4 linked regions of the Notamacropus eugenii genome follow. Each later gene encodes a partner of the first gene's protein in a complex. Links are inferred from orthologs where the notes say so. Each region holds a gene or a part of one and is shown in the gene's direction. Other genes may lie near its edges.

What was found.
Region 2: the proteins of PLK1 (region 1) and CDC25C are in contact, whole or in part, in a crystal structure (PDB 3BZI), measured with the Homo sapiens proteins. The link is inferred for Notamacropus eugenii from reciprocal best matches to the Homo sapiens genes PLK1 and CDC25C. Residues at the interface, in NP_005021.2 of Homo sapiens: Lys413, Trp414, Val415, Asp416, Tyr417, Tyr485, Glu488, His489, Leu490, Leu491, Arg516, Phe534, His538, Lys540; in NP_001274511.1 of Homo sapiens: Leu126, Leu127, Cys128, Ser129, Thr130, Pro131, Asn132.
Region 3: PLK1 (region 1) and KNSTRN share a complex: the UniProt entries of both Homo sapiens proteins name them as parts of the astrin (SPAG5)-kinastrin (SKAP) complex. The link is inferred for Notamacropus eugenii from reciprocal best matches to the Homo sapiens genes PLK1 and KNSTRN.
Region 4: the proteins of PLK1 (region 1) and MIS18BP1 are in contact, whole or in part, in a crystal structure (PDB 8S31), measured with the Homo sapiens proteins. The link is inferred for Notamacropus eugenii from reciprocal best matches to the Homo sapiens genes PLK1 and MIS18BP1. Residues at the interface, in NP_005021.2 of Homo sapiens: Lys413, Trp414, Val415, Asp416, Tyr417, Asp419, Tyr485, Ser487, Glu488, His489, Leu490, Leu491, Arg516, Phe534, His538, Lys540; in NP_060823.3 of Homo sapiens: Asn73, Ile74, Phe75, Gln76, Ser77, Thr78, Met79, Leu80.

The regions. Positions count from the first base shown.
Region 1 is NC_092872.1:81,486,983-81,494,407, reverse strand, and holds the start of PLK1 (serine/threonine-protein kinase PLK1), read left to right. Parts: upstream 1-4,366; 5' UTR 4,367-4,660; coding exon 4,661-5,092; intron 5,093-5,551; coding exon 5,552-5,720; intron 5,721-6,574; coding exon 6,575-6,719; intron 6,720-7,425. UniProt on the Homo sapiens protein: Serine/threonine-protein kinase that performs several important functions throughout M phase of the cell cycle, including the regulation of centrosome maturation and spindle assembly, the removal of cohesins from chromosome arms, the inactivation of anaphase-promoting complex/cyclosome (APC/C) inhibitors, and the regulation of mitotic exit and cytokinesis.
Region 2 is NC_092872.1:365,474,682-365,481,851, reverse strand, and holds the start of CDC25C (M-phase inducer phosphatase 3), read left to right. Parts: upstream 1-4,038; 5' UTR 4,039-4,047; intron 4,048-4,281; coding exon of another isoform or gene 4,282-4,455; intron 4,456-5,515; coding exon of another isoform or gene 5,516-5,620; intron 5,621-5,733; coding exon of another isoform or gene 5,734-5,829; intron 5,830-6,271; coding exon of another isoform or gene 6,272-6,315; 5' UTR 6,316-6,344; exon of another isoform or gene 6,345-6,543; intron 6,544-6,866; exon of another isoform or gene 6,867-7,132; intron 7,133-7,170. Other genes in the region: oocyte-specific histone RNA stem-loop-binding protein 2-like, read right to left, coding at 3,057-3,251, 3,918-4,038, 4,282-4,455, 5,516-5,620, 5,734-5,829, 6,272-6,315. UniProt on the Homo sapiens protein: Functions as a dosage-dependent inducer in mitotic control. Tyrosine protein phosphatase required for progression of the cell cycle. When phosphorylated, highly effective in activating G2 cells into prophase.
Region 3 is NC_092878.1:26,428,207-26,436,457, forward strand, and holds the start of KNSTRN (small kinetochore-associated protein), read left to right. Parts: upstream 1-5,083; 5' UTR 5,084-5,143; coding exon 5,144-5,202; intron 5,203-5,575; coding exon 5,576-5,643; intron 5,644-8,251. UniProt on the Homo sapiens protein: Essential component of the mitotic spindle required for faithful chromosome segregation and progression into anaphase.
Region 4 is NC_092872.1:606,016,643-606,024,875, reverse strand, and holds the start of MIS18BP1 (mis18-binding protein 1), read left to right. Parts: upstream 1-5,233; 5' UTR 5,234-5,324; intron 5,325-8,233. UniProt on the Homo sapiens protein: Required for recruitment of CENPA to centromeres and normal chromosome segregation during mitosis.

The DNA.
Region 1 (7,425 bases):
CAGTAAGGTAAGACAATTTTATAGTGTATATGATGCTGATTGCACAATAAAAATTTAAATAGAATATTTGAATATGATTAATATTTAAAAGGCAGGAGGGGGTTTGTTAAGAGATTAAGTAATAGGGGAGGGTTCCCAGCCTGGGTGGAACTTTGTATGCAGTTACCGACAGTACATATAGAAAAATCCAAAGGGGGTAAAGGGGAGCATGTACGTATGATAATGAAATTATAATAATCCTCTCTACACCATAACTTCACTCTAGGTCAGTTCTTTACTATTACTGTGAAGGTGCTATCTTAGGGAGGGCCCCTTCTATGGTTTGGTGGTCAAACATCCTGCTCTACATCCTGGCAGTGCTGCTGATTGGCTAACTATTGTGGTCCTGTCTGGTCAAGATGGATGATGTGGTTGAGGTTGAGTGCATAGACATACCTGTTTCTGTGGAAAATATGTGAATTGCATCTGGGGGTAGAGGCTAGCTAAAGGATTAAGTCTGGTGGCAATGGCTGGCTAGGGGAAATGGCTAGCTAGAGGCAGTGGCTAAGTTGAGTCTGGATGCAGTGGCTAGCTAGAGGCAGCAGGTCTGCCGATGATTGAGTTTGAGGACCTATGGTATGATTAAGGCCAGATTGTATGGTCAAATCAAGCCATACCTGCTGTTTAGTGGGGCCCATAAGGAAGTTAGAATATTGGGGCTGATTTAGCAGCTCTATTAGGATTCCATCAATATTGGGAAAGAAGAAATGAAAAAAAAACATTAAAAAATGAAAATAGTATGCTTCGATCTGCATTCAGACTCCATCAGTTCTTTCTCTGGTTGTGGATAGAATTTTCCACCATGAGTCTTTTGGAATTTTCTTGGATCATTGTATTGCTGAGAAGAGCCAAGTCATTCATAGTTGATCATCATACAATGTTACCATTACCGTGTACAATGTTGCCCTGGTTTTGTTCATTTCACTTTCCATCAGTTCCTGTAAGTCCTTCCAAGTTTTTTCAAATTCATCTGCTCCTCATTTCTTATAGCACAATAGTATTCAATTGCATTCATATACCATACATTCCTCAATTGATGGTTATCCCTTAAATTTCCAAATTTTTTGCCATCACAAAAAGAGCTGGTATAAATATTTTTGTATAGGTAGGTCCTTTTCCTTTTTCTTTGATCTCTTTGGGATACAGATCTAATGGTGATACAGCTGAATCAAAGGGTATGCACAGTTTGATACCTTTGGGCTGGATCTGTTCACCACTCCACCAACAGTGCATTAGTGTCCCAATTTTCCCACATCCACTCCAACATATATCATTTTCCCTTTCTGTCATATTAGCCAATTTGATAGATGTGATGTGGTACCTCAGAGTTATTTTAATTTTCATTTCTCTAATCAGTAGTGATTTAGGGCATTTTTTTCTTCATCTGAAAACTGCCTGTTTATATTCTTTGACCATTTAACAACTGAGGAATGCCTTGTATTCTTAAAAATTTGACTCATTTCTCCATGTTTGAGAAATGATGGTGCCTTAACTTCTGTGATTAGATCCTAGAGTTGGTCTCCAACTCTCCTATAGTCAGTCAATAAAAACTTATTAAGTGCCTTACCCTGTGCCAACTCTGTGCTAAGTGCTAGACTATATTGAGAGGATACAAGGTGTGTACAAGTAAGCAAGGCAAATATGAAGTATGTCTGTAGAAAACAATATAAAGTAAATTATTTGAGTGGAAGTAAAAACAAAAAAATGATAAACATCCTCTGCTTTCAAGAAACTTATATTATATATAATAATATATTAATAATTAATATATTACATATTATAAATTAGATGCAGGATTGTACTGGTAAATGTTTAGCTCTCTGGAAATGTTTGTAGCTGTAAGGTAAGACTCACCTTGTAGTCTGTAAATGTTTCCAGCTTTCTGGAAAAATGTAAGCATGACACATTTTTTAAAAATTCAAATAATATTCTACTTTCCCCCCAATTACATGTAAAAACAATTTTTTAGCATTCTATATTTTTTAAGCTTTGAGTTCCTAATTCTATCTTTCCCTCTCTCCTTCTTGAGACGGTAAACAATCTAATATAGGTTATACATGTACAATCATGTGAAACATATTTCCATATTAGTCATTTTGTGGAAGAAAACTTGAACCTGAAAAAGAAATGAAAGAAGCAAAGAAAGTGAAAAAATAGTGCACTTTGGTCTGTATTAGATGCCATCTGTTCTTTTTCTCAAAGGGAAAGCATTTTTCATCATGAATATTTTGGGATTCCAAGACACATTTTTCAGTCTAATTTGTATTATTATTTTCTTCATTTTTTTAAAGTCTAGAAATCAACAAAACAATAAATTTCTAATTCATTGCACTTGCTGATTTCCAAGATGTAAATGCTCACACGGAAAATTTTAAATGACGCTCTCTCTAGCAAATATGAGTTTGTTCCAATACCTCTCCGATTATATACTTGAAAACTTAAGGAGGGAGAAATCAGTAACAGCCAGGGGGAATCAGGAAAGCTTCTGGTAGGAGGCAGCATCTGAACAGAGCCAAATCAAGGATTATAAAAGTCACAGCTCAAGAAGTAGTGCATTCTGAGTGTGTGGGATGAACTTATTTGATTGTTCATACAAAGGCACTGAAGACTGAAAATGGGACCCTCGAGTCTGGGGAAGAGCAACTAGACCAATTTGACTGGACCCTAAGTACAATAAGTTTGCTACAGGGGTAGTGAAGGATTTTTCTATATTCCACACCCAATCCTAGAGTTATTAGGGAGCCCCTGAAGGTTCTTCAACAAAAAGGCATCATTTTAAGAAGGGGTTAGTGAAAGTACTGGAGTCCTTGTCTTACAAAGTGGAGTTTAAGGAACTGAGGTATATTTAGAATGGCAAAGAAATGACTGGGGTGGGATGGGAGAGAAAAGCGAGTGGAAAGAAGACCGGAGAAATGGCTGCCTACAAGTAGTTGTAGGACCGTTGTATCATGGACCGTTGTATCCAAAAGGAATTAGCTTGTTCTGCTTGTCTCCAGAGGGCAGAACTAAACCAGTGAGTGTAAGTTATAGAGAGGCAGATATACTCCCCATCTTAAGAAAAGCTTACTAGCAAATAGAGTTATGCAAAAGTAAAACTGTTTCGCCTTTGGAGGAGGATATAAATATATATGTATATGCATGTATGTATTTGTTGAGGTTTGGGAACCATGAGGTTTGGGGAACTCAGGACCCCAAAATACGGACAAGCCAGTTCCTGCCGAATGAATTCGACTCAAGACTTCTTCTAGCAAAAGTAAAGCAAAGTTTATTAAAGGTTTGCCATGTTGGATTGACTCTTAAGGAGCCTTGCCATTTGCGATGCTTGTATTAACAAGTGGGCCAAATAGAAAGTTGGCTAGACAGTCAAAGCTAGATTGAATCTGAGCCCCTTCATGGAGGTGAGATGGAATTTATATAGAGAAAGTCTGCGGGAAAGATCTAGAGGTGGTGTAGTAGTCTGGGAGGAGAGTCTAAGGAGGATCTGGAAGAAACTAGGGTAACTAGTGATGTAATGAAGGGTGGGAAACAGCTGGAGGCAATTGGGAGGTATCAGACTATGGAGAGCTTGAGTGGGAAGTAATGGAAGATGGGCTAGGCTAGGTTAAGGGTCATAGATTTGGGTATAAAGTCCAGATTAAGTGGGAAGATTCAAGCAGAGTTCAAGGAGCTTCTCAGAGTCTGTACCCCACCATATTTTATCCTTCAGTCTTGTCTGACTGTGACCCATTTAGGGTTGTCATGTTAAAGATACTGCCATTTCCTTCAGCTCATTTTAGAGATGAGGAAACTGAGGCAAACAGGGTTAAGTGACTTGCCCAGAGTCACACACACACACGCATTACATACACATATACACATACATGCATACGTATGAATGCACACATATACACACGCAAATATACACAGATACATAAGCGCCCACTCGGTAACACTAAAAAGGAGATTCTTGTTCAGCTACAGACAGCTCCTGGATGGTTCGTGGTCCATCATCAATTGATTTCCTCCTCCCTGGGGGTCCTTCCCAGGCCAGTCACTGCCACAGATCGCTTCTCCCTCCCTCCTTCTTCCTCCGTGGTGCAGCACGCTCAGCACGCTCAATCTCCAGGCTTCCCAGGACAACCAAACTTGACAGCGGCCCCCCACTCGCTGTCAATAAAGTTTGTTGAAAGCTCGGCTTGCCTTCGCAGGTGGGGCAGGGGCTAGTGGGTGGTGGAGGCGAGGGCTCTCCCATCGTGCCCCGCGGTAGGCGGGTTTGGATTTTAAATCGCTGCAGCCAATCGGCGGCGCGGACCGCCCCGTAACGTTCCCGGCGCTGGGTTTGAATTCTGGGCTACTTGCACTGACCCTGCAGCCGCGCCGCTTGGGGCTGGCAGAGTGCAGCCGAGCTGTCCTAGCTTAGCCCCGCCGAGCTGGCCTAGCGGAGCTGGCCTGGCCTAGCCGAGCCTAGCCGAGCCGAGCCGAGCCGAGCTGGCCTAGCGGAGCTGGCCTAGCCCAGCCGAGCCGAGCCGCAGCCGCTGCGCCGCACCCGGGCAGGTCCAGCCGGGCGAGAAGCAGCGGGAGGAGGACGGAGCGGCTGCGGGCGGAGCTGGGAGAGGCGGCTGGGGACGGCGGCGGCGGCATCATGAGCGCGGCGCCCGCGAAGCTACCCCTGCGGCAGCCCGGCGTGGGCTCCTCGGAGCCTCGGGGCAAGCCCGCTGTCGGCGGGGCCGGAGCGGGCGGCGGGACCGGGACCGCGACCGCCCCTCCTGCGGCCGCCCCGGACATCCCCGAGGTGCTGGTGGACCCTCGCAGCCGGCGGAGCTACCTGCGGGGCCGTTTCCTGGGCAAGGGCGGCTTCGCCAAGTGCTTCGAGCTCTCGGACCTGCAGAGCAAGGAGGTGTTTGCGGGCAAGATCGTGCCCAAGTCGCTGCTGCTGAAGCCGCACCAGAAGGAGAAGATGTCCATGGAGATCAATATCCACAAGAGCCTGGTCCACCAGCACGTCGTCGGTTTCCACGGCTTCTTCGAGGACAGCGACTTCGTCTTCGTGGTGCTGGAGCTGTGCCGGAGGCGGGTGAGCGCCCCGGAGGTGGGGGGGACGGGCGAGGAGACGTTAGTGCCCCGGGGTGCTATCAGAGGGGTGGAGGGCCTGCAGGAAGGACTGGGGGTGGGGCGTGCTTCCTCTCCGATCTCCCCACCAAGCGGTCACCATAGAACCGGCGTGGGCACTAGCGAGAGCCCGGGAGGTTGGGGGCCGGGCCCAGCTAAACCCAGAAACTGGCTCCAAGTTCCATCGTGCCCTTGAGTTCTCAAGTTCGAGGCCTCAGTTCATGTCTTGAACCCTCGGGGCTCGGGGAGAGAGTGGATCCCCTGTGAGTTCTTTCATAAGCAGCATTAGGGTGGAGTAGCTCTGTTGCCCCCCCTTCCCCCCCCCCCCCGCAAGGTTTCCACTCACACGACCCCCTCCCCACCCCGATAACAGAGTCTGAGACCCCTTGACTTAGCGCGTGTCTCTTCTCGCTGCCTCCCACAGTCCTTGCTGGAGCTGCATAAAAGAAGGAAAGCAGTGACTGAGCCTGAGGCCAGGTATTACCTTCGCCAGATTATCCTAGGCTGTCAGTATCTCCACGAAAATAAAGTTATTCATAGAGACCTCAAGTTGGGTAATCTCTTCCTCAATGATGACATGGAGGTGAAGATAGGTAAGACTGGGGAACCCCTAACCAAGCTGGGATTTTGTACAGGAAGTGTAACTTCCTAAATGGACCTAATTCCCCGTTGAATAATCTGTGTGGCTGTCCAGGAAAGACCCTTAAGCAAAAGTCCCAGGGATTAGTCTAAAGTCTGTGTGACTGGAGCCTTTTCCACAAGCCAAATTTTATAAACTTCTTTTTGGCTTTGCTGTTAAATCATTCCTCTTGGCAAAAGTAAGCAGTTATGCTTAAATGCACAACCTTATGCAAGAGAGCTACAGATTGAAGAAGATTTAGTCCTAAAATGCTTGCAGGAAAGTGTATGCCCAGAGTCATATTTTCCTTGCACAGCTCCATGTTTTTTAGAAAAGGATAGGGATGGAGATGGGGGAGGTGAGGGCAGCCACAGGTTGGTAGCTAAAAGAATACTGTAGAAAAAAATCAACAACCCATGCTTTTCTTTGTTTCTTCTGTACAACAGAACTGGGCAACCAGGGAACATAGACATGGTCCAGGGTTTACTGTGGAAAACAAAAGGAATTCTGGATCTAATTTCAAAAAAATTTGGAGACAGGCACCTATTATACAAAGGAGGATATAACTCCTTCCCCCCAATCCCCCCAGTGAGATGAGGCAGGGGTAGTAATGTTCTCTCTGGGTCTTTAGATTACCCTAGTCTAGGGAGATGGGATAGAAAAATTATATTTTATATTGTAGGCTACAATAGGGCCAGCTTTGTTGAAAAGGCCCCAGGCTGTTAGGTGCCAGAAGTGGGCATCAGTAACAACCTACATGGGACTATGGGTCAAACCAATCTGGATTCCTGGGAAGAAGAATGATTTGCTTCCTAACCCTTATTACAGGTGACTTTGGATTAGCAACCAGAGTAGAATATGATGGTGAACGTAAGAGGACCCTCTGCGGAACACCGAACTACATAGCCCCTGAGGTGCTAAGTAAGAAGGGCCACAGCTTTGAGGTGGATATCTGGTCCATTGGGTGTATCATGTGAGTAGTAGCTTAACTGGATTCTTTATCAGGAACCCAAGAGACAGGCAAACCTCCATTTATGAATAGGCAAAACCTGGCCTTCCTTTTTTAGCTCTCTGTTATCCTAAGAACTATTTAGTCTCAGGGACGAGAAGAATAGAAGGAAAGATGATCCAGGGAAGATGAGATTCCAGTGACAGTGAGATATTCAAGAACACTGGTCTTTGGGGACAGTGAGGAGATGGGCAGGACAGGTGGAAGGGTTAACTATTGCTTTTAAGTGATTGTGGTTATCTGAAACAAGATCCTTAGAGAGCAGGGGGAATGGAGCCTTGTTTCCCTTGATGCTGGCATCCCACTGAGGGCCTCTTCCATCCAGTACCAGTTTTCTTCCCTTTGCCTAGGCTTGGCCTCAGGAGCTGAAGGATATTTTCCTAGGTCGTTCACCTTTTGCACTTGCTTGCAAAAAATTGGCTTCACAAGTACAAGATGATGGAGGCATGGTTCCAAAGTTTGTTTGAAAAAACTCTCTCAGTATCTGAGTACGGTACAAGTTCAACATTAGTCATAAGTATAATGTGGCAGCCAAAACTAATGTGATCTTGGGCTACATTTAGAGGCAACACTTCCAGTCAATCTGTAAGGAAGTAGGAGGTGATTATCTTACAATACCCAGACTCCATCTGGAATATTGTTTAGTTCTGAACAAAACCATTTAGAAATA
Region 2 (7,170 bases), about 280 Mb from region 1:
CACTCTTCCTGTTCAATGCACCACAAAGCCTAGGGATGCTGGGAGTGATGACATCATTAGGATGCAGAAGGCAATCTGTTCTACCTTTCTGGCTGGACACCATTCACTCATTCATTCACTTGTGCCTGTGTACTCACATAAGTCTAAAAGGGCACTGTTTGTATATGACAAGTTCTGCTTTGTATGCGACTTTTTCCCTTCTGTAAAATGGGGAGAATATTCCTTAATCCATACCCATCTCATGGAAAGATAAGTTTCCTGAGACACTGGGAAAGTTCTCTATGCTCTTCAAAAAGAATAAAAAATAAAAAGCATTACAGAAATCCTATACACTGAGATTTCTCCTCAGCTGCTTCCCCTATATAGGCCCTTGTTACAGAAGATAAAACTCAAGCTACGTTATACTAAATGCTCTTGGTTTCTTAAAGCTGCCTTTTTGGAGATCCATCAATGGAAAAGGGTACCTAGTTGCATTCAGATACTAGGGACAGCCTTTGGAGGGTGAGGTAAACTCATTTTCAGGCTCTCAAGATTTGGGCCATAGGAAACTCCTAGTTTTTTTTCTCTCTAGAATCAAGAGGATGAAGAGGATAATTTCATATTTTCTGCATTTTAATTGCTGGGATGTGGTCATACACAAGTCATTGCAACAAGCCAACTACTACCTATCACATTAACTGACATTTTGGGCTCTACGTTTCTTAAAACAGAGTGGGGGGGGGGGGGAGGGAACCTGAAACAATTGAACCAAGATATAAAAAAGGCAACCTAGCTTGGAGAGGGCCAAACCTAAAGCATTAGAAGGCTTAGTCTTGGCTCCTTCATTACCTTATCTTCTAACTGCAGAATAAAGAAAGTCCTGAACCCACACTAAACAAGTTAAAACTTCTCAGCCTAATAACCGCCAAGGATCGAAGCCCTTTTGGGAGGAGGCATCTGGCTTGGCCTCTTAGGTACCCAGAAGACCCAACCCTCTTCCCCAATGGGGCACTGACATTTCCCCACTCCCCAAAGATCTAAGTGATCACTGATACTTGGGTCTCAGAAACAGAGTCAGAGCTGAAGAGCAGAAGTCTCCCTTGGGGGTAGATCTACTTAGTTCAATGGGACAGGCTGGCGGGAGATTTTCTGGGGACTCCAGGCCTTCTCCCTCCATCACAACGCCCCCACCCCCACCCCCAGCTTGGGGTTAGAGTATGAATAAAAACAACGGCGGGGGAGGGGTTCCTTTCTCCAAGGCCCTGGTGGTGCCTGGGGTGGGTGGGTGTGATGGATGCTGCCCACCCCTTCTCCACCCACAATTAAGACTACACACTACCCCCTCCATCCCTGGGTTGCCGCTACCTTAACCACGGGAGGGGCAAGAGGTGACCTATGACCCTGTGGGGGTGGGGGCGGATGACGTCAGAGGAGCCGCTACCCGCCCCCTAACGCCAGCCTTCTGGCCCAGGACCCGGGCCCGTAAAGGAGTTTGGGGGGGGGGGGGGGGGAAGATGTCTGGGGACACGGTGCTCTAGCGGCCCCCTCCCCCACCAGTCCTGGGCTCCCCGCAACGGGGCGGCCTGCAAAGCCAGGCCGTGAGGAGGGACTAGCTGGGAAAGGAAGGAGGAAGGGAGGGGCAGCTGAGGTCTCCGCCCCAGGGCCCAGCGCCACCTGCCCCCAGGGCCCGCCCGCCCGCTACGTACCGCAGCTCGGTCCCCTTCCCAGGGCCGCAGCCGGAGCAGCTCTGAGCTCGCCACTTGCCCCACGGCGCCCTTAAATAACGCCGGAGCGAACCAATCGTCCCCCTGCCAGAGAGGGGGGGGTAGCTTCCCCACTCCCAGGACTTGCCCCGAAGCCCCGTGCGAGGGCCAGAATTCCTGGGGTTTCCTCTCCCTCCCCCAAAAACTGCTGGTAATCAGTAGCGTCCGTGATGGAAAAGGTGCAACACTTGCTCCTCTCGATGTACCTCGCCTCAAAGGGGTCTTGCTCCCCACTAGGTTCCCCTACCGAATTGCGGAAGGTGGAAGGGACCGGCTCTAGGCTGAACTAACTTCGGGCCAGTGGGGAGAATAGACAGAGGTAAACAAACTCAGGCCCTCTCTCTACAGTTCCTGCTCCAGTCTGACTAAGACGCCTTCTCTGACCTTGACCTCTAGCAGAACAAGCCTCGCACCCCGGTGTTCGTTTTTCTATTTCTCCCTATACTGCCACTGCTTTGAAAAAAACCCCTCTTCCCTGCCACTGAGGACTCGTCTGCGACCCAGGGGCAGATGGGAGGTGTAGTCCAATGCTGGCCAGACTTGGGGCCTGCTTGAATAGGGTTCCAGAACAACGGGCAGCAGGAAAGGCTGAGGGGCAGGGGGGGCGAATTCCCGATCTGGATCCCAGGACCTTAGCCCCATCCCCAGCCCTTTCTTCTTTCTCCCGAAGTCGCGCCTGCACGTCCATTACTACACTCAGTGGGCCTGGGCCCCTTCTCTTCTTCCATCAACGCCCCCCATCCCCCGCCCTTCCAGTCACAGCAGGATGAGGTAATTGGATTGTGATTATGACATCATAATAAGCTCAGCTCTTTTCCTCCTCCCTCCCCCACCCCCAATGTATTCTAGAGGAAGCGCCCTCAGGACTCCTCTATCAAACCCCGCTTTTCATTCTTTGTGTAGAAGTGGTCAGACCCTCGCAAAGACCTTCTTTGTCCATAAAGCAGGAGTGGTCAGTGAGAGGAAAGGGCTATTCTTTCACCAAAGCCACAGGATTTCAGTCTGAAGTAACTGCACAAGTTACGAGTAAAACTCATCCCCCCCAAGAAAGACCTAGATGAAAGAGGCTAAAATAGAGGAAAACAGGGACAGAGACTTGAGAATGAATGCCAAGGGAAATAAATGAATCCACAGTCATGCCATCAGAGAGGCAAAGGGGTAGAGAAGTGATTTTAACCCAAATTTGAGCCAGTGGAGAAGGGCTTTCTTATTGCAGGCTGGCAAGTTTGTAAAACAGGGAAGGAACAGGAAAGAAGAAAAAAAAGAGTAAGGCAGGACACTAAGCTAAATAGGGGGCATTTTCTTCATCAAGGGTCAATGAGGGTCTTGCCCCAGAAAGCTGGGCAGCCTCCCTGCCCAATTTCCTAAAGGCCTTGTCTTCTCAGCACACTCCACATGCCCCAACACTGAAAGTGGTAGGTGGCTTCCATCTCCCAAGCAGTATAGCCAGTGACAGGGAGCTTCCAGCTGGAGACAGGGAAGTGAGGTGATAAGAGCCAAGATGTCAAACTGAAAAGAGAGAGGGGAAAGGGCCCATTTTCAAGAGGTAGGTAGACAATAGCTATCTATCCTCCCTGTTTTTCTCAGAGGTAGCTTAGCTTGGAGGGAATAGTACTCATTAGGATCTTCATTATGCCCCTTTTCCCCACTCCTAGAGAATAACCGCAAACATTTTACAACAGAAAGTAAAACCCTGGTAAGGATCAGACTGTGAAGTATTAAACAGACAATTCTTCCTAAAGTTTAAGGTAGTACGCTTGTAGATAATGTAACTTTATGGGGCAGAGGCTAAAATTAGGGCTCTGAGATACTTGCTTTCTCCCACCACACTTGTTTAATTTCCATATTTAAGCTTTCTGATCAATATATCATTGACTTGTTTGCATAAAAAGAAAACTCTACTCGTTCCAATTCCCAGTTAACTATCCCAACCCCAGTTTATCTAGTATGTATACACCTGTTTTGAACTCAGCCTTAATTCAGCCATTATGAAGTAATATTTTATTTATTATAAATTATTATATAAAATTATCATATATTATTAATTATTATATGTAATATGTAATACACAACATGTATTATAAATTATTATAAATAAAATGATTTATTTGTTCATTATGAAATATACCCACACCCTGAAAGACAACTCTTTTGATACTGTTCCTATGAACCTACCTGGGTTCTCATTTGGTCTTGATTTAGATTCCACAGGGGAGTCAGAACACTGAGCCAGCCTTTCAAGAAGTCATCTGAAGATCCTGAATCCATGCTCCCTGAAATATTCTCCACTCCCTGCCTAGCAAAGGTATATTTATTTAGGAGAAGAAACAAAGGCAGAATGAACCAGGACCAATGCAGACCCATTTTTTATATAGGTAGCTGTTCTCAGAACTGGGAGCAAGAAAAAGGTTTAGATTAGTCTAGGGTTCAGGTATCATTACAATGACTCCATTAAGAAACTTTGGCCCTTGTCCTTTCTCTTATACCCTAGCTTTTGTCAAAGGAAGAGAAGGTTTAGAACTCAAATCCCACAACTCACTGTAGCCAGGTACAAGAACACATATCATTCTCTTTGAACAGCAAAGGCTGACTGGGAGGATCCCAAGCATGTAGGGCTCGTCGCCATTGCCTGATCTGGGCATCCCAGGAACGTCGGCTGTACCTTCGGCTTTTGTCAGGTGTTTGAGGGTGAAGTCCTGACTGCCGTGTTGCCCTAGAGATAAAATGAACATCTTAAATTATGGTCAAAGACACCTATAAATAGATGGAAGAGGCTTAGTGCTCCTGTGTTATTGGCATGACTGAGAATCAGCCTAGTTGAAGAAAGAATTCTTCAGCATTGTTGGACATAGTTCATTAATTGTTTGCAGGTATCAGAGACTAACTTTAGAACAATGTTCATAGGCTCACAGATTTAAAGCTGAAAGGTACACCTCAGAGACTGCTTAGACCAAATCCCTCATTTTATAGCTGATAAAACTGAGACTGAGCTTTGGAACTTTGCAGTAGCTATATCCCATCCCTAGAATGCACTCCTACCTCACCACTACCTCACAGAATCCTTAATTTCCTTCAAAGCAAAGGTCAAAGTCCACCTTTTACATGAAGTTTTTATGCCCTTCAGCTCCCCCCGCTAAAAAAAAAAATTACCTTGTATACTTTTGTGTACAGGTTGTCTTCAGAACATAAGGGCCTTGACGGAAGGTACTATTTCATTTCTACCTAACATATAGTAGACACTTAATAAATACTTGCATATTAAATGACTTGTACACAAGACCACATGAGTTACAGTAAATAAGGCTAGAATTTGAGCTCAGGTCCTCTGACTCAAAATTCCCCACTCTTTCTATTATACCATGCTACTTGCAAAGTTGAACCCCTCTAAAATGCCTTCCCTTACTGACGAATAACAGTGTACTGACTCATGTTCAAAGTCTAAGAGAAGAGACAGAATAAGTCCAGGAAAGTTTAGCCTAATATTTTTAAATAGAAGATTCTATTTATAAAGATGCAGAAAGGCAAGTGATGAGAAGGTTTAGGAAGACAAGGTAGCCATTAACAAGATCAGAACAAGTATTATAGACCATGTAGAATGCTTAAAGATGTTTAGAAAATAGCAAGATTAATTGATAGGCTTCCTAATTTTTCTTAAGGCATTCTAATATGAATATCAAGGTGACTTGGTATTAATTGATAACAATTGATGGTAAAAGATATTTTCAGTTCTTCAAAGGATAAATGTTGTCCATCCCCAAACCCTCTGCTCTTACTTAGGGACTTGCTGTGAGAAGCACTGGTAACCAGCTGTTCGTTTCCCATAGTCTATCTGCTTTTGTCTCCTTCGAAGAACAATCTCATCTGTTTCTACATCCTGCCTGTGGAGAAATAAATGTCCTATCAATAAATAGCTATGAAAAACATAAAATGTTCTTAAACATCTCTTTACACTGCGGCCATCTCACTCCATCTGCCAGACTCCATAACTCACCTGCACCTTCTGCAGCTGTTCTCTGTGCTGACTCCCACACTCACCATCTTCACTCCAGAGGAAGAATTCCCAAGCCCAAGCATGTTCTTATCGGTTCTATAAGTAAAGAAGGTATCAGAATGACTAGGTGATTGCTGTGCTTTTTCCAAAGAAACACATCCTTCATCTGGATCCTGGACAGCCAGATTGAATTAGTGTCCACATCTCTAAAACACCCTCCACAATCCTCAGAGCTTCAATAAATAGCAAACGAACTTACATTGGACTTTTATTAAGCACCTACTGTTTGCAGGTCCTGGGGGAGATCGAGCTCAGATAAGACACACTCTCTTCCTTTCAGGATGTTTTTTTTAACTACAGTCTGGTAGGACAGAGGTAGTCAGTCATTCACGATACCATACGTGCTTAGAGCACGGAAAGGTGCAAAAAGGAGAGGTCAGGCTACAATAGTTGAAACTGGACAGCAGCAGGAAAAGCCCTTCGTTCCCCTACTCCTTTCCAAGGAAGGAATGGAGAACCTGCACACCCCAATACACACCTCTCTCTCCTCAATTCCAGAGTTTCTAAAGGCAGATTCTCCATTTCATCGCATCACCTCTCAGAGCACTAAGGTGAGGAGTCGGTGCATTAGCTAAGGCGAAAAGGAAGGTAGGGGGAATAAAACAGCCCAGAAACCCTCACCTGCACTCACCAGGTTTTTCAAATTCACCATTCAAAAGAAATAAGCTGGTGAGGGCGGGGCGAGAGGGAGCGAAGGGAGGGGGTGAGGGGGGTGGAGATTTAAATCTCCCGGGTGGAAGGCGTGGGAAGGGCGAGGTCCGGGCGGACGGGATGAATGGCCAAAGCATGAGCCAATCATGTATCCGATTTTCCCCGGAAGGCGGAGTTTAGCTCGGGTTTCGCCGTAACCTCGTAGCCAATCCGCCGCCGACTCGCGCTTGCTCGGAAGATTCGCCCAATCCCGAGTCCCGCCCATCTCTTTGAGTTTGGGTCCTGCCTAGCAGCAGGTGACGCCACAGCGAGCGGGTCTACAGACTAGATTAGATTGGCTGAGGCGCGCGTGGTGGGGCGGGGAGGGAGGGTGGGATTCGCTGGGAAGACTCACGGCCATTGGTCAGGAGGCGTCTGGGGGTGGGACTTCTAGGAGGTGCTCGGCGATTGGCCGGGAGGCTCCTCGCGCAGCTCTGGGGGCAGGCGGAAGGTTTGAACTTTCTAGGTGTGGCGAGCTGTTGGGCTGCGTCCTGACTTATAGCTCCCGGTCCTACCCTGGAGGTCCCGGGGAGTAGAGGCACGGATCCGGCGCACGCTCCTGTCTGCTACCTCCTGCCAGAATTGTCCTTCTTTGTACATCCGCCACAATTTCCCCCCTACACGCCCTCCTATCCCCGGAGTTAAGCAGGTATGTTTGCCTGGTCTCGATCCTAGCTTTAGGAACCG
Region 3 (8,251 bases), on another chromosome or scaffold:
ATGTTCTCAGATGTGGTGTGCCAATGGTAAACAGGTGATGTGCCAAGAAAGGAGCAAATTCAGAATCAAGTGGAAGCTTGTTCATTGGAGCAGAAAGGCATCTCATTTCTAGCATCTAGCTTAGTCTGAAGCCTCTAGAACAGCCAGGGCAGGAATCTCAGGCCAAAGGTGAGCAAAGGACGCAGTTCAATCATTGAACTGGCAAAGCTTTCCTGCTAGCTGATAAGAGTTGTGTCCAATAACTCTCTATTGTTGCTCAAGCCAAATTCAGATCAGGAACTTTCATAGATCAGATCAGGATGGCAACAATCAAACTTTGCCCTAGATCAGACCATTTGTGGAATGCTGAAAAACTTGCAGATCTCCAGCCTGTCCTTGAGTTCCTAGTATAACACAACTTTAAAACTTACAAAAATAAATAAGATGAGACACTTGAGTAAACAATTGGAAAGGAAATGAGAGCTATGGAAGAAAAAATTAGTAAAGAAACCAATAGCTTGTCACAAGAGGGACAAAACCTTGTTGAAGCAACAAACTCGCTGAAAATTAGAAAGTGCTAAATAGAAGCCAGTGACTCCATGAGGCAACAAGAAATATCAAAACAAAGTCAAAAGATGAGAGAATAGAAGAAAATGTAAGATATCTCATAGCAAAAAGCAACAAACATGGAAAATAGATCAAGGAGAAAAAAATAAATTAAGAATCATTGGACTATCTGTATGCCATGACCAGGACAAAAGCTTGGACATAACATTTCAAGAAACCTTAAAAGAAAACTACCCAGATTCCTTAAAACAGGGGTGGGGAACCTGTGGCCTCATGGTCACATGTGGCCTTGAGGTCACTGGTTACCCATTCCTGCCTTAGAATCAGAAAGCAAAGTGGAAATTGAAAGAATCTACTAGTCACCTCCTGAAAGAAACTCCAAAATGAAAGCTTTGGAACATTATGGTCAAAATCCAAAACTTCCAGATGAAAGAATAACCAAGAAACAAAGAAAAAAAGAACAAAACACTACAAGCAGTCAAAAAAGAAAGAATTCAAGTACCAAGGAGTCAGAGTCAGACTCCTATATGATTTAGTGGCTACCACTATAAATGAATGGATAACTTGGAACACAATACTCCAGAAAGCAAAGGATATATAACTTATACAGCAAATTGAATATAATGCTACAGGGGGATGGATGGGAGGGGATGGGGGTGGAACGGACCTTTAATGAAGTAGAAGACTTCAAAGCATTCCTGATGAAAAGTCCAGATCTTGGTAGCAATTTTGAAGTTCAAACACAAGAATTAAGAGAAAGCTAAAAAGGCAAGGAAATAAACAATGCTAAGGGACTGCACAAGGTAAACTGCTTGCTTCCTAATATGGGGAGATAATACGTGTCCCTTATGAGATCTGTCAGGGGTCAGAGAGTGAATCTTATTAGACAGAAGACGTGGAAGTGGTTCTGTTACGTCTTGATGATCTTAAAAGAAGTATGTAAAGAGACGGGAAGAGGAATACACTTGGGGCAATGTAAGGGAAAGAGGAAAGAAGGTTAGGGGAAATTATCTCACCTAATCAGGGCACACAAGTAGACATCTATACAAACAAGGAGGTGGGGATAGGGGATGGATGATGCTTCAATCTCATTTTCCTATCACACTCAGAGTTGGGTACAGAAATGCATTTCACACAATAGGAGGAAAAAAAGAGGAGGGGTGAATTGGAGGGAGGATAGATTAAGGGAGGAATTAGTACTAACAAACTAGTACAAACAAACTAAGGTTGTACAAAGTATTTGTAGCTCTTTTTAAGGTGATAAAAATGGGAATCTGAGGGGTGCTCATAAATTGAGGAGTGGCTAAATATGTTCTGGTATGTAAACGTGATGAACTATTGTGGTGTGCAAGAAGTAATGAAGATAATGGTTTCAGAGACACCTGGGGAGATTTGCATGAACTGAAGCAGAATGAAGTGAACACAATCGGGAGAGTGATTAATTAATATAATGGTTGCTGTCCTTTGTCTTCGCAGAGGACCAAAATGACATCACCATATTACAGTGAAATTCAGTGTGTCTGACTGTGGCTGATGAGACCAATAAGATCTCAGAATACTGTACCACAGGTTGGGCACAGATTGTCCATGTGAATATTTGGGGTGGATACTCCAAATTTGCGCATCCTGCGTTTACTTTGTGCTGTCTCAATTCTGCTTTGCTCAAAGAGCACAGCACCCTTTCGGATGTGGGCACACCATGCTGAGCGGGTCCTGTGCCAGTGTCTCCCATGTTGCACAGTCAAATCCAGAGTTCTTGAGAGAGACCTTGAGAGTATCCTTGTATTGCTTCTTCTTCCCACCATGTGGAACACCTGCCCCACGCGAGTTCTCCATAAAATAAGTCTTTTTGGCAAGCATACATTTCACATTCGAACAACATGGCCAGCCCATTGGAGTTGCGTTCTCTGGAGCATGGTTTGGCAGTTCAGCTCGAGCAAGGACTTCAGTATCTGGTACCTTATCCTACCAGGTGATCCTCAGAATCTTCCTAAGACAGTTCAAATGGAAGTGATTCAGTTTCCTGGCATGGCGCTGGTAGACTGTCCATGTTTCACAAGCATATAACAATGAGGGCAACACAACAGCTCTGTAGACCTTCAATTTGGTAGTCAGTTTAATGCCTCTTCTCTCCCAAACTTTTCTTCGGAGCCTCCCAAACGCTGAGCCAGCTCTGGCAATGTGTGCATCACGTGTGTTCAGGGAGGACCGGTACCTTTGGTGTGATGGCTGCCAAGTCCTTTTCAGGGCTCTTTCCACCTTTGGTGTCCACCTGTTCCACCCAACTCTCACCTGTGGCTCCAAGAAGCTGCAGCATGCTCAGCGGCCACACCCGGGTAAACCATTGAGGCAGACTGGCCAAACCAGGTTGAGGGTAACCAAGGGTTCTCACACCCACAGGTGAGTTAGGGAGGTGTGTACCTCAAGTATGTGAAGACTTTCTCTGGTGGAATGGGCGGATGAGAACAATTTGTTCCAATGGCCATGAATTAATGCAATGACAACAATATGAAAGAATTAGCAGCTTGGATCAGCAGGATGACTAAACACTATTGCAGAGAACTAATGATGAAATGCTACCTCTTTCCTGATGACAGACTCAGTGAAAAAGAAACTTTTTTTTTGGAACAAAGTCCATGTAAAAATTTGTTTTGCTTGATACACTTGTTTATAACTAGGATCTTATTTTTCTTTGGCTCTTAATTTGGGGGGTGCACAGATTAGATGAGGGGAGGTAAGAAGATAGATTTTTGCTAAATAAAAAAATGCAAATATAGGAGGACTATGGGCGTGCAACAGTGCACATATTGTCAGACGCAGTCAATGTAGTTTAATCCACTGAGCTGCTTTAAACCCCTCTGTTTTTTCTTTATTATTAATGAATACAACACAAACTAGGGAAGAGGAGGGAAACACTCATATTCAGAAATAAAAGTGGTGTAAAAACAAAAGATGGCAATACAAATTAAACAATTTTTTAAAATCTAAAAAAGCTGCTATTAATTCAATAATACCTTCAAATTAATTTGTATTTTAATAATCACAATAGCAAATATTTAAAGAATAGTAACACTTACGTAAAGAGGTAACTTGTAGCATAGTGGATAGAGTGCCAGGCTTGGAGTCAGGAAGACCTGAGTTTAAATCCAGCTTCAGACACTTACTAGCTGTGTAACCCTGGGCAAAGTCATTTAACCCTCTTTGTGTCAATTCCTTCTCTGTAAAATGAACTGGAGAAGGAAATGGCAAACTCCAGTATCTTTGCCAAGAAAATCCCAAAAACGGGTCACAAAGAGTTGGACACAACTGAAAACAACTAAACTACAATAACACATATATAAGATATTATTTATATAGCATGATTGTTGTTTATAAATAATTTTCATAAATATGTTCTCATTCTTTATAAATAATTCACATTATTTAATGAGATAACTGGTATGCATATGGATTCTGGACTATCTTTCAATCTGACTGTTCACCTCCTTAATTTTCCACCCTCTCCCAGTCTTAAGAAATTGGATTTTATGCCAAAATTCAAGAAGAATTCTGGCAACCAAGCAATGTAATTAATGATGAATGATTAACAACGACAACACAAAATCCTAGATATAAAGCTGGAAGCCTTTCCATTGTACCACTTTTATATAGTGGTACATATATATGTATATATACACATACATATATACGCACATATATATGTATACACACACACATATATATACATATATATATACTGGCATATATTCATATAGTATATAAGAACTATTAGCATAACTCTTAACCTCTTTTGGGGTCATGGACCCCTTTGGCAGTCCAATGAAGCCAATGGACCCTGTCTCAGCATGATGCTTTAAAATAATTGTAGGAGAAGCTTAATTTCAGTTAGAGGTTAGTAAAAATAAAGGTGTATTTTTTCCCCCATTCAAGTTCATGAACCTCATCAAACCTATATCCCTGGACCCCTCTGGGGGGTCTGTGGAGCCCAGGTGAAGAACCTTTGCTTTAAGGTCACAAAGGTATTCCATATATTAATTCATCTGATGCTGAGTTGTCTGGGATCCCTGATGAAGGCTTGGGCAAGCCCAGGTAGATCTTCCAATTCTTGATTAAACAAGATCCTTTATTAAACCCACTGTGCAGTGGATAGGACGCTGGGTTTGGGAGCCAGGAAGTCTTGCTTCGAAATGCTACCCTTGGCACTCACTAGCTAGTCTTGTATCCCTGGGAAAATCAAGACACCTCTCAGTGCCTCAGTTTCTCCGTCTGTAAAATGGGGGACTTGGACTAGAGAGTCTTTGATGTCCCCAGTCAAGGTCACCGTGCCCTCGCCCCAAGGCCTTCTCCAGCGATCGTTCCTTCCAACTCCACATCCTGACGAGCTCACCCCAGCCTTTCCCAAACCTCCCACCACGCTCCAGCCCCGGCCAGCCGTACAACATGGCGGCCCCCTCGCTCTCGTTCCTGTAGGTTTCCTCCGTACAGCATGGCTGCCTCCGGGACTCAGAGCCGGCCCCGCCCCCTTCCACCGGAAGTTTCTGTTTGAAATACCGGCGGCGCCTGGGCTGGCGGTTCCTGTGCCCGAGCGTGAGTGGTGATGGAGAGCGGGTGCAGACCGGGGGTCGGGGACCCGGCTTCGGCCGGGGAGCGTCCGGGGTAAGAGACGGCTTGGAAGGAAGCGGGGACCCGGGGGCTGAGGGGGCGGCGGGCCGGGCCCCGGGGGGGCTGAGGGGGAGGCCTGGGCCCCGGGGGGGCTGAGGGGCGGCGGGCCGGGTCCCGGGGAGGGGGCTGAGGGGGGGCGGGCCGGGCCCCGGGGGTGCTGAGGGGGAGGCCTGGGCCCCGGGGGGGCTGAGGGGCGGTGGGCCGGGCCCCGCGGGGGGCTGGGGGGGCGGCGGGCCGGGCCCCGCGGGGGGCTGGGGGGCTGGGGGGGCGGCGGGCCGGGCCCCGCGGGGGGCTGGGGTGGCGGCGGGTGCCCTCCCGCCCGCAGCCCGCCGGGGCGCCTCTCCCAATGGAGCCCCCTTCCCTCCAGGGTCCAGTCCGGCCGCGCCTCGAGAGCCAGCACCGCCAGGCCTGCGTTGGGCGGAGGGCAGCCCGCGGGTGAGTACCGGGGCCGGGTCGTGGCCTTCCGCCAGCATCCGTAAAGCGCCCACTGTGTGTGCCCTGGGCCCTGGGCATCCCGGGAGGCCCCGAGGTTTGCTAGGGCTAATACCGCGCTGTAACGGGGTGGGGGTGGCGGGGAGCGCAGGTAGATACTAATGATGGCTAATGTTTATGTAACACTTAACGGATGCCAGGTGCAGTGCCAAGCCCTTTACCTTTATCGCAACGACCCTATTGGCATCCCCATTTCACAGATGAGGTTGAGTGACTTGCCCAAGGTCTCCCAGCTAGTTCACTAACTAGAGGAATTAGGAAAAGCCTTTTCAAGGAGCTGGCACTTGGGCGCCTTCATTACTGATTCCCTCGGGGATCTTGTTAGCTCTGACAGATCCAGTTATCATGCCTACGGAACATGTCCCTCAGATCTACTGTCTAGCCCCAGGTCCGCCCTCACCTCACTGACTGTCTGTCTGCGTGTGTTCTTCATTTTGGAAGAGAATGATGACGTCCCTTGCACTTGACTTTGTTTTGAGTGAGGGAGGGCTGTGCAGGTCCCCAGCCTCACTTCTCCTCCAGAGCCATCTGGATCCGGTGACCAGATAGTCTTCAGGATGACTGGAGATGACCCAGGATCCAACTGGTTGTTCTGTGAACATCTTAAACTCAACATCTCCAAAACTGAACTCATTATCTTTTCTATCAGACCTTCCCTTCTTTCTAACTTGGCTGTTACTGTGTAGAGGATACTATCAGGAGTCTAGTCACCAAGGCTCACCACCTGCCTATCATCCCCTCCTCCTCTTACCTTACCCCTCCACCCCCATGTCCAATCCGTTGCCATTACCTGTTGTTTTTACCCTCTTAACATCTATTGCATATGTACCCCCCTCTTCTCTGATGCTGCCACTAGCCTGGTGCCACTTATACCTGAATTTTTGCCATAGCATACTGCCACAAGTTTCTCCCCATTCTAATCCATCCATCACTAAGCTGGCAGAGTGTTTTTCCTAAACATAGGAAACATAACCATGTCACTGATTTCTTATTGAACTCCAGCAATTGCTTGTCACTTCTGGGATCAAATATGAAATCCTCTTTGGCATGCAAAACTCTTCATAGCCTGTTCTCCTCTCCCTCCTCCTCCAGAAGCACAAAAGCATGTGTCTGGAGAGCAAGGGTGGTTTTTCTTTTTGTCTTCATAGTTCTAGCCCTTAGCACATTGCTTTACAGAGTGCTAGTGTGGATACACTGAGAACCTACTGACTTGGACTTTTAAAAGACATATATTAAAGGTGCAAGAGAAAGTAGGTGTCAGAGGATAAATCCAGAAGAGTGGTGACTCCCTACCTGTACAAATACAGACTAACATGGCTGATACAGAGTTGAAGTTGAAGTTAAGTAAGGCATTTGTTTGTAAGAAAGCATCTGGCTGCCCTCAAGTCCCCAGACTTGGACTACCACAACAGTCAGTACATGAAAAAATTGGTAGAAGTGATTGCTAAACTGATGTAAATAATCTTTGAAGAATTTTAGAGAATGGGAGAGGTGCCATAGAATTGGAGGTAACAATTGTCCTCATTTTGAATGAGGGAAAGAAGAGCCTTCCAGTTACAGGCTAGGGAACTTGAAAAGAGTAGAAACTGGATGCTGGGAGACTAATTAGGAGGCTGTTGTTAGAGTGCAGGTAAAAGATGGTGTAAGCTTGAATTAGGGTAGTGATCCTGTGAATAATAGGTTCAAATCCCACCTCTAACATCCAGACTTGTATGAACTGATGCAAAGCGAAATGAGCAGGACCAGGAGAATAACCTGTCCAGTTACGGTAATATTGTGAAGGTAATCAGCTTTAAAAGACTTGGTAATTTTGATGAACGCAACAAGTCATCACAATTCCAAAGATTCATCACAGAATGCTGTCCAGAAAGATAACCAGTTGACCCAGAGTGCAGATTTGAAGCATATTTCATCCTTCTTTCTTTTCCTGGCTTTTTTTGAAACAAGCTTGATGTGGAAATTAGTTTTGCATAACTGAATTTGTAATGGGTTTTGTTTTCTTCTCAGTGGATTGGGGAGGGGGGAGTAGGGAGAGAGAAGGAAATTTGGAACTGAAATAAAAGCGTAAAAAAGTCTCCGTTTTAAAAAGTAATCTTGTAAAAAAAAAAGTTGTTAATAAAAATTTATTTTTTAAAAAGAAATGAAATAAAGTAGCTAAGACCCATTAAATAGTTCCAGCAAATTATGAAATATAGCTATGGTGTGTTTAGGGAGTTTAAGCCTGTATTCTCCACCTTCCTATCTTCATTCTTTTTTTAAATCTTATTCCTTTCGCTTATATTAGCCACCATGTTACGTTTATACCCTTTTTATCTCTTCCAGCCTTAGAGATCCTCAGATGAGTACTCAAAGAGTCCATGTATTATTTTGGGTAGTGTTACTTAGATATGGCCTTTTTATCCCAAGGAGATTAAAATTCAGTGATTCAAAGCTGCTCTTCCTAGAATGAAGTTGACTCAATTAGGACATGGCAATTTGGATTAAAACACTGACCATGATATTAGAATTGGGTTACGTTGGTTGGGTTTTCACCCTCTTAATTTTCCTTTCA
Region 4 (8,233 bases), about 520 Mb from region 1:
TTTTTTAGATATCATTTCATCATAGTCAACTCACACCTATGCCCTTTTTCTATGTATACTCCTTCTGTGAGCCAGAAAATTCCAATTTTTAATAAAAGTCACTGAGAACTCCAAGGATTAATTAATTGATTTATCAATTTATTAGGGAGTCTTGGGGCCCCTATTCAATTGGGTCCAAGATCTTCCTCATGATCAGGGACTACCCCCCTTGGATGGTAGTCACTTTTATATACTTGGAAAAGCACTAAAAATTGAAGGAATCATTACAATTCACTGATTGGTCAATTCCAGAAGATGATTTAGTGACTGAGTGCACTGAATGTAGGATTCATCTTGATCTTTAAGCCTGACCCTTATTTTAAATATTTTAAGGAAATAGTCTTAGGTGATTTCCTTAAATATGATGGTTGGCTTCTTTTCTATATCACACTTTTAGGGAGCCTGATAACTCTGATGTTCTTTCTCTATACTTTTTCCTCAAGATTGATCTCCTTTCTCTAATATAAAGGCCAACATCAGGAAGGAGGCTGGAAGAATCAGCAAACCAAAAAAAATCCCTCCATAAAAACCATTATAGTAAAAAGAATGCTCCAGACACAATCTCAGAAGAGAATGACTCCAAAATATCTACAAGCAAAACATCCAAGGAAAATGCTATTTTGGATACAAATTCAACCAGAATTCCCTGGGAGAGAGGAAGTAAAAATTTAAGGGAAAAAATAATTTACTTTTTTTTTTTTTTAACAAACAAGTGAGTGCTAGAGAAACAAATGGGAAAGAAATCAGAACTATGGAAGAAAGAATTGAAAAAAGAATTAACAGTATGGCACAAGAGGTACAAAACCTTCCCAAACAACAACTTCTTTGAAAATTAGATTGGATCAAATAGAAGCTAATGACTTCATGAGGAAACAAGAACTATTAAAACAAAATTTAAAATACAAAGCAAGATATTAAACAAAACTGAAACAAATAATATTAAAACAAAACTAAGACAAAAATAAACCTTCCCAAGCAATAGTCTCTCTGAAAAGCAGATTGAACCAAACAGAAGCTAATGACTCCATGAGGAAACAAGAAATATTAAAACAAAATTAAAAGACTGAGAAAAAAAAAGATATGTTATCCCATACCAATAAACAGTTGATCAACAAAACAGACCAAGCAGAGACAATTGAAGAATTTTTGGACTACCTGAATACCATGAGCAAAACCCAAGCTTTATAGTGTTTTTTTCCCCAGGGTTTTTGGGACACCATTTTCTCCTGATTTTTCTCCCAAGTGATGTTCCTTTTCATTCTCCTTTACTGGATTCTCCTCTAGATCACACCTTCTACCCACAGACATCTCTCAAGGCTCTTCTTGGATCCTCTTTTTCTCTCCCTTTATATCTCCTTTACTTGGTGATCTCATCAGCTCCCATGGAAAAACAAAACCCTGTTACAAACACATATAATCAAGCAAAACAAATTTCTGTTCTGATCATGGGATAAAAAAGTCTCATTCTGCATTTTTGAGTTCTGTACGTCGAACAAGGAGGTGGTAACATGTTTCATCATGGGCAACTTCCATCTGGACAGGGAATCTACTATTTCCTACTGCTGCCTCATAGCCAGCCTCCTCAGATGAGATCTCAGCCCACCTGTAAGTTTTCTTTCTTACTTAGGAGGGAGAGGTGTATTTTTGCAGACTGAAAAAAATTAATCATAAATATGGAAAAGACTGATCTCCTTTGTTTACAATACTTTTAGATACCTTCTTAGTTTTCTACATTTTTTCCTGTTTTCTCAACTGTTTCTGCAATTTTATACTCCAGCATCACAATTCTGTTTCTAAATGAAGCCATTGTTTTATTTAGTTTTCTATAAGTATTTTCAAAGTACTGAAAATATTTGTAAGCTTTTATGTCTTCCTTATTTCATCTTGTGATGTTTTAGATGATTTAATTTTCCTTTGACTTTGCTTCAGTGAGTTTATTATCCATATTGATGCAATATTATGATGATTTTAGCTTTCTTTCTGGTGATGTTAGTATTCTATTATATTTTCCTTCTGGTATTTGTTTTCAGTTTCTAGTGATCTATAATATTTATTCAAGGTATTGGAAATATTGTTTGCTAATTTTGAAGTTTCATTACAAGGGTTTTAGATAGTCTTAATTTCCTAATTGGGGGGACAATGATCTATTTTTGGATAATTTTTATTACATTTTAGCTTTTGTGTATAGCTAGGTTTATAAGATAGTATGCAAAGACCATTTAATTTAAAAAAAAGTTAGCAACAAAAGGAGAGAAATTTAATAAGATACAGAAAAAGTAGGCTATTTGAAACACAGATTGATTTAATATCATTGGGACTAAGTTTACATCTTTGCTTCTCATGTTGCCTTGACTCTTGAGAATTTAACAAAGTGAAAAATCTGAATGAAATTTTCTCTGAATTTATCATATTTTCAGGGATACTCTTAAACATAACATCTTTGATGTTTAATGACAGATGACTTACTACTAAAAATTTTCTCCCACATATTTTTTTTCATATTTAAAACATTTAATTGGCATAGAGTAAATTTTTAGAAAAACAACTGGAACAACAACCACATGATAAAGTATGGCTGTTTTATTCCTTTTTTTTTTTTTTTATTCATTTTCAGTGCTCCACAATCACTTTCATATAACCTAGATTTTTTTGTTTCCCTCCCTCTCTCCTCCCTCCCCGAGACCACATACAATTCTATATGGGTTCTTGAAAGATTATGAAGGCTTATAGTAAGATTATATAGGCATAGGCCTCAGTCTCTATGAATATATTATGAACTTTAATTCACCCCTAGCGTGTTTGCGAACAGAGAGTCCACAATTGGTCCTGAGAACTTGAGGGACATCCTTGTTGAACCCTGGCCAGGTCCACAAGGAAGAACTTAATTAGCTGCCTATGGATTCCTGGAACTAGTCATTCTGGGAAAGTACTGTCCTTGTGGCCCTGGAAAGGCTGCCCCCTTTCCAGAGCCTCATGTAAGGATTAGTGCCTTGCCAACATCTTTGGCAGCAAGGCTTCTTTGTTCTCAGACTATTTCACGAATAAAGTTTAGTTGACTAGTTAGAGTCTCACCCACGGAGAGGACGCTCTGCCTGGGACCTTCTGATCGGGACTCAATGGGCAGTTTCCTGGGATTCCCCAGCCCTAAGGACTAAGAGTTGGTGCTTCCCCTGATTCGGTGATGTTTTCCTTCTCTAATATATACATATTAGTAGGATTTGCTTTATTTGTAATAGTATTGAGTTGTATTGGATATTTCTTTTGTAAAGCTGATCTATGCTTACCTATCTTTTGAATTATAATAAATCCATTTTATATCCTTTTATTGTTGGATGTGTCATTTTGTAGGAGCCAATCAAAACTAAAACTCTGAACTGAACAGTTCTACCCATACATTCCCACTAAATACACCCTCACCTTAGTCATGTAGCATAGAATTAAAATGAATGGGACAAATCATAAAACAAACCAAAAAGTAATACAAAAGAAAATGATCTGCTACATTCTGCGATTGAATTCCATAGTTCTTTTTCTGGATGTGGAAGGCATTTTGTCTTAAAAGACTATTGGGAATTTTTTAAGTCTTTGCATTGTAATGAAGTTCTAAGTCTACCAGAAAAAATCCTCGCACACTGTTCTCCCATATATTTCACAGAGTTACTCTCCAGTATGAGTTTTTAGATATTGGGTGACTTCTCTAGCTGAAGGCTTTCCTACATTCAATACATTCATAAGGTTTCCCTTGACCATGAATTCCCTGATGTGAGAAGAGGGATAAGAAGTCAAAGAATGCTTTCCCATATTTATTACATTAATAAAGCTTCTCAGCGTGTGTTAACTAATGTCATGTAAGGATATCTTTCAAGCTGAAGGTCTTCCCACATTCATTACATTCATAGGGACTCTCTCTAGTATGAATTCTCTGATGTTGAGTAGATGAGCAGTATAATAAAAAAATTCCAAATTCATCATATTTGTAGCGTTTTTCACCAGTATGATTTTCTTACATGTACAGTAAGAGAAAAATGATTGAAAAGGACTTTTCTGCATTCATTGCATTCATGGTATCTCTTCTTCATGTTTTTTTTTTGTTTTGTTTTGTTTTGTCAAAGATGATGTATACTAATACTTGCTTGATACCTCTTTCATGGGAAAGGGATTTTTCCCATGTCCTCCTACCTTGAGAAGTTTCCTTATACTTCTGCAATCTGTGATCTGGAACAGGAAAAGATCCTGTCTCTCAGTCTTTCTTTTAATGAATCTGGTGATTCTATGTGTTTAGAAAAGTTCTGCTTTGGAATTGATTCCTGTTCTTGGGCCTACTATCCCAGTCTTAAACCAAAAGAAAACACAAATTTAATCTGTTCTCCATGGAAGAAGAAAAAAATATAGTAAAAGTAGATGATGAAACATAAAATAAAGTCTATGAGGCATCATTGTATGGGCAACCATCAAAAAAGATTATATTTTAATCTGCAAAGAGACTATGAGAGGTGAGAATTGAGAAAGGTACAGAGATGAGGAGAGAGTGCAGATAATACATAACATTAGGCAAGGTGATCAGAGAATATGAGAAAGTCTATCTAAGAGCATAAGATAGATAAGAGAAGTAGATCGAGTGAAGGGTATGGTGATAAATAGGAATACTAAGGAAGGAAGAAGAAATAGAATGGGATCTAGACAAATAAACTGTAAAGAAAGGGTAAAGAGAGGGCAAAAGGTGGTATGCTATCAATGGGAGCTACCAATGTCAGAGAGATGAGATACCCTTGAGGCTCCTGGAGGTTCTCCTAGAGAACCCTGGAGAGGGGCAAAATGTTAACATATCTGACTTCTAGGTAATAGGGGGCAGAATAGTCACCATTAACACATTCATTCTAGTTGTAAATAAAAATGCTGAACAGCAGAGGACTCAGAATAACCCATAAACAATTTTCCTCTTTGATAACATTAGCTCATCAACAGGTGCTGTGGGTTTGATCATTCAAACAGTGTCAAATCTACTTAACTGTACTAACATAGAACCTACATTCATCCATCTTGCCCAATATGAGAAATTTTGTCAGATGCTTTGTTTCCCTCTTACCCCACTCATCCTCCTTCAGTTGTTGCTCTAGAGACACAAAGTAAACTTAGCCTTTATGATGTAAGCATTTGGTAGAGCCAATTGTGAAGTTCACCGAAAGAATGAAATACTATAGTACAACTCCACTCCTAGTTCAACTTTGTTCATCTTGGCAGAGAACTAAATAACATTCATTAACCACTACTTTGAAATGAGACAGGTATGCCTTTATCTTTATCTTTTTTTTTTTTAAGGTCAATATATGTTATTTTTATTTCTGCTTCTGCCCTTAGCTGTATAAGTTTTTTTTTTTTAATTTAACTTTTAACATTTATTTTCACAACATTTTGGGTTACAAATTTTCTCCCCTTTTCTCCCCCCCCCCCCCAGACCCAAGCATTCTAATTGGCCCTGTGATCAATCTGCTCTCTCTTCTATCATCCCTCTCTGCCCTTGTCTCCGTCTTCTCTTTTGTCCTGTAGGGCCAGATAGCTTTCTTTACTCCTTAACCTGTGTTTCTTATTTCCTAGTGGTAAGAACATTACAGTTGATCCTAACACTTTGGGTTCCAACTTCTTTAGCTCCCTCCCTCTCCACCCCTTCCCTTTGGAAAGCAAGCAATTCAATATAGGCCAAATCTGTGTAGTTTTGCAAATGACTTCCATAATAGTTGTGTTGTATAGGACTAACTATATTTCCCTCCATCCTATCCTGTCCCCCATTACTTCTATTCTCTTTTGATCCTTTCCCTCCCCATGAGTGTCGACCTCGGATTGCATTCTCCTCCCCATGCCCTCCCCTCCATCCTCCCCCCACCCTGCTTGTGCCCTTGTCCCCCACTCTCCTGTATTGTGAGATAGGTTTTCCTATCAAAATGAGTGTGCATTTTATTCTTTCCTTTAGTGGAATGTGATGAGAGTAGACCTCATGTTTTTCTCTCACCTCCCCTCTTTATCCCTCCACTAATGAGTCTTTTGCTTGCCTCTTTTATGAGAGATAATTTGCCCCATTCAATTTCTCCCTTTCTCCTCCCAATATATTTCTCTCTCACTGCTTGATTTCATTTTTTTTTTAAGATATGATCCCATCCTCTTCAATTCACTCTGTGCACTCTGTCTCTATGTATGTGTGCGTGTGTGCATGTGTGTGTGTGTAATCCCACCCAGTACCCAGATACTGAAATGTTTCAAGAGTTACAAATATTGTCTTTCCATGTAGGAATGTAAAGAGTTCAACTTTAGTAAGTCCCTTATGACTTCTCTTTGCTGTTCACCTTTTCATGGTTCTCTTCATTCTTGTGTTTGAAAGTCAAATTTTCTTTTCAGCTCTGGTCTTTTCATCAAGAATGCTTGAAAGTCCTCTATTTCATTGAAAGACCATTTTTTCTCCTGAAGTATTATACTCAGTTTTGCTGGGTAGGTGATTCTTGGTTTTAGTCCTAGTTCCTTTGACTTCTGGAATATCCTATTCCATGCCCTTCGATCCCTTAATATAGAGGCTGCTAGATCTTGTGTTATCCTGATTGTATTTCCACAATACTTGAATTGTTTCTTTCTAGGGGCTTGCAATATTTTCTCCTTCACCTGGGAACTCTGGAATTTGGCCACAATGTTCCTGGGAGTGTCTCTTTTTGGATCTCTTTCAGGTGGTGTTCTGCGGATTCCCCCTGGTTCTAGAATCTCAGGGCAGTTTTCCTTGATAATTTCATGGAAGATGATGTCTAGGCTCTTCTTTTGATCATGGCTTTCAGGTAGTCCCAAAATTTTTAAATTGTCTCTCCTGAATCTATTTTCCAGGTCAGTTGTTTTTCCAATGAGATATTTCACATTATCTTCCATTTTTCCATTCTTTTGGTTTTGTATTGTGATATCATGCTTTCTCACAAAGTCCTTAGCGTCCATCTGTGCCATTCTAGTTTTGAAAGAACTATTTTCTTCAGTGAGCTTTTGAATCTCCTTTTCCATTTGGCTAATTCTGCTTTTGAAAGCATTCTTCTCCTCATTGGCTTTTTGAACCTCTTTTGCTAATTGAGTTAGGCTAGTTTTCAAGGTGTTAATTTCTTCAACATTTTTTTGGGTCTCCTTTAGCAGGGAGCTGATCTGCTTTTCATGCTTTGACTGCATGTCTCTCATTTCTCTTCTCAGTTTTTCCTCCACCTCTCTAACTTGATTTTCAAAATTCTTTTTGAGCTCTTCCATGGCCTGAGCCCATTGGGTGGGCTGGGACACAGAAGCCTTGATTTCTGTGTCTTTGCCTGATGGTAAGCATTGTTCTTCCTCATCAGAAAGGAAGGGAGGAAATGCCTGTTCTCCAAGAAAGTAGCCTTCAATAGTCTTATTTCTTTTCCCTTTTCTGGGCATTTTTCCAGCCAGTGACTTGACCTCTGAATATTCTCCTCACACCCACCTCGCCTCCTGGTCCTCCCAGCCAGCGTTTGGGGGCTGAGATTCAAATGCTGCTTCCCACCTTAGGGCTTTTGGCGGGGGCAGGGCTGCTATTCAGTGTGAGAATTAAGTTCAGGTGGTCAGGTGGGGGCAGGGCCGCCTCTCAGGCTCAGTTCCCTCAGGGGGTTTATGCACAGACCTTCCACAATGGATCCAGGCTCCCTCCCGCTTGGGGAGCCCCTGTCTGCAGCTGCCTCTCAGCTTCTACCTCCTGGGGGGGCCTGAATTATGGGGGCACCCCACTCCCCTCTCGACCCGCCAAAGAGACTCTCTCACCAACCCCTGTCACCTGTGGGTGGAGGGCCTTGTGCAGCCGCTGGAGATTCCGTCCCTGAAGCCTGCTCGGATCTTTTCCTCTCGGTGCCACGGCCGCGGCAGGGCTGCACTCAGCTCCCAGTCCCGGCGCCCAGTCCGCAGCGCGAAGGACCCCCCGCGAGAGGTTTGCAGGTCCCTCCGGAACAGAAATCTCCCTCGCTCCAATATTCCGTGGCCTCTGGGTGCAGAATTCGCCGTGAGTTACTCCCCTATAGCCGATCTGTGGGTTGTGGGTTTGGAGCTATGTGTATGTGCGTCTTTCTACTCTGCCATCTTGGCTCCGCCCCCCCTTTATCTTTATCTTTACCCATGAGACTCCTACCAGACTGTCATGCCTTATCCGGTCAATTTTGTACTGTTATGGGAATTT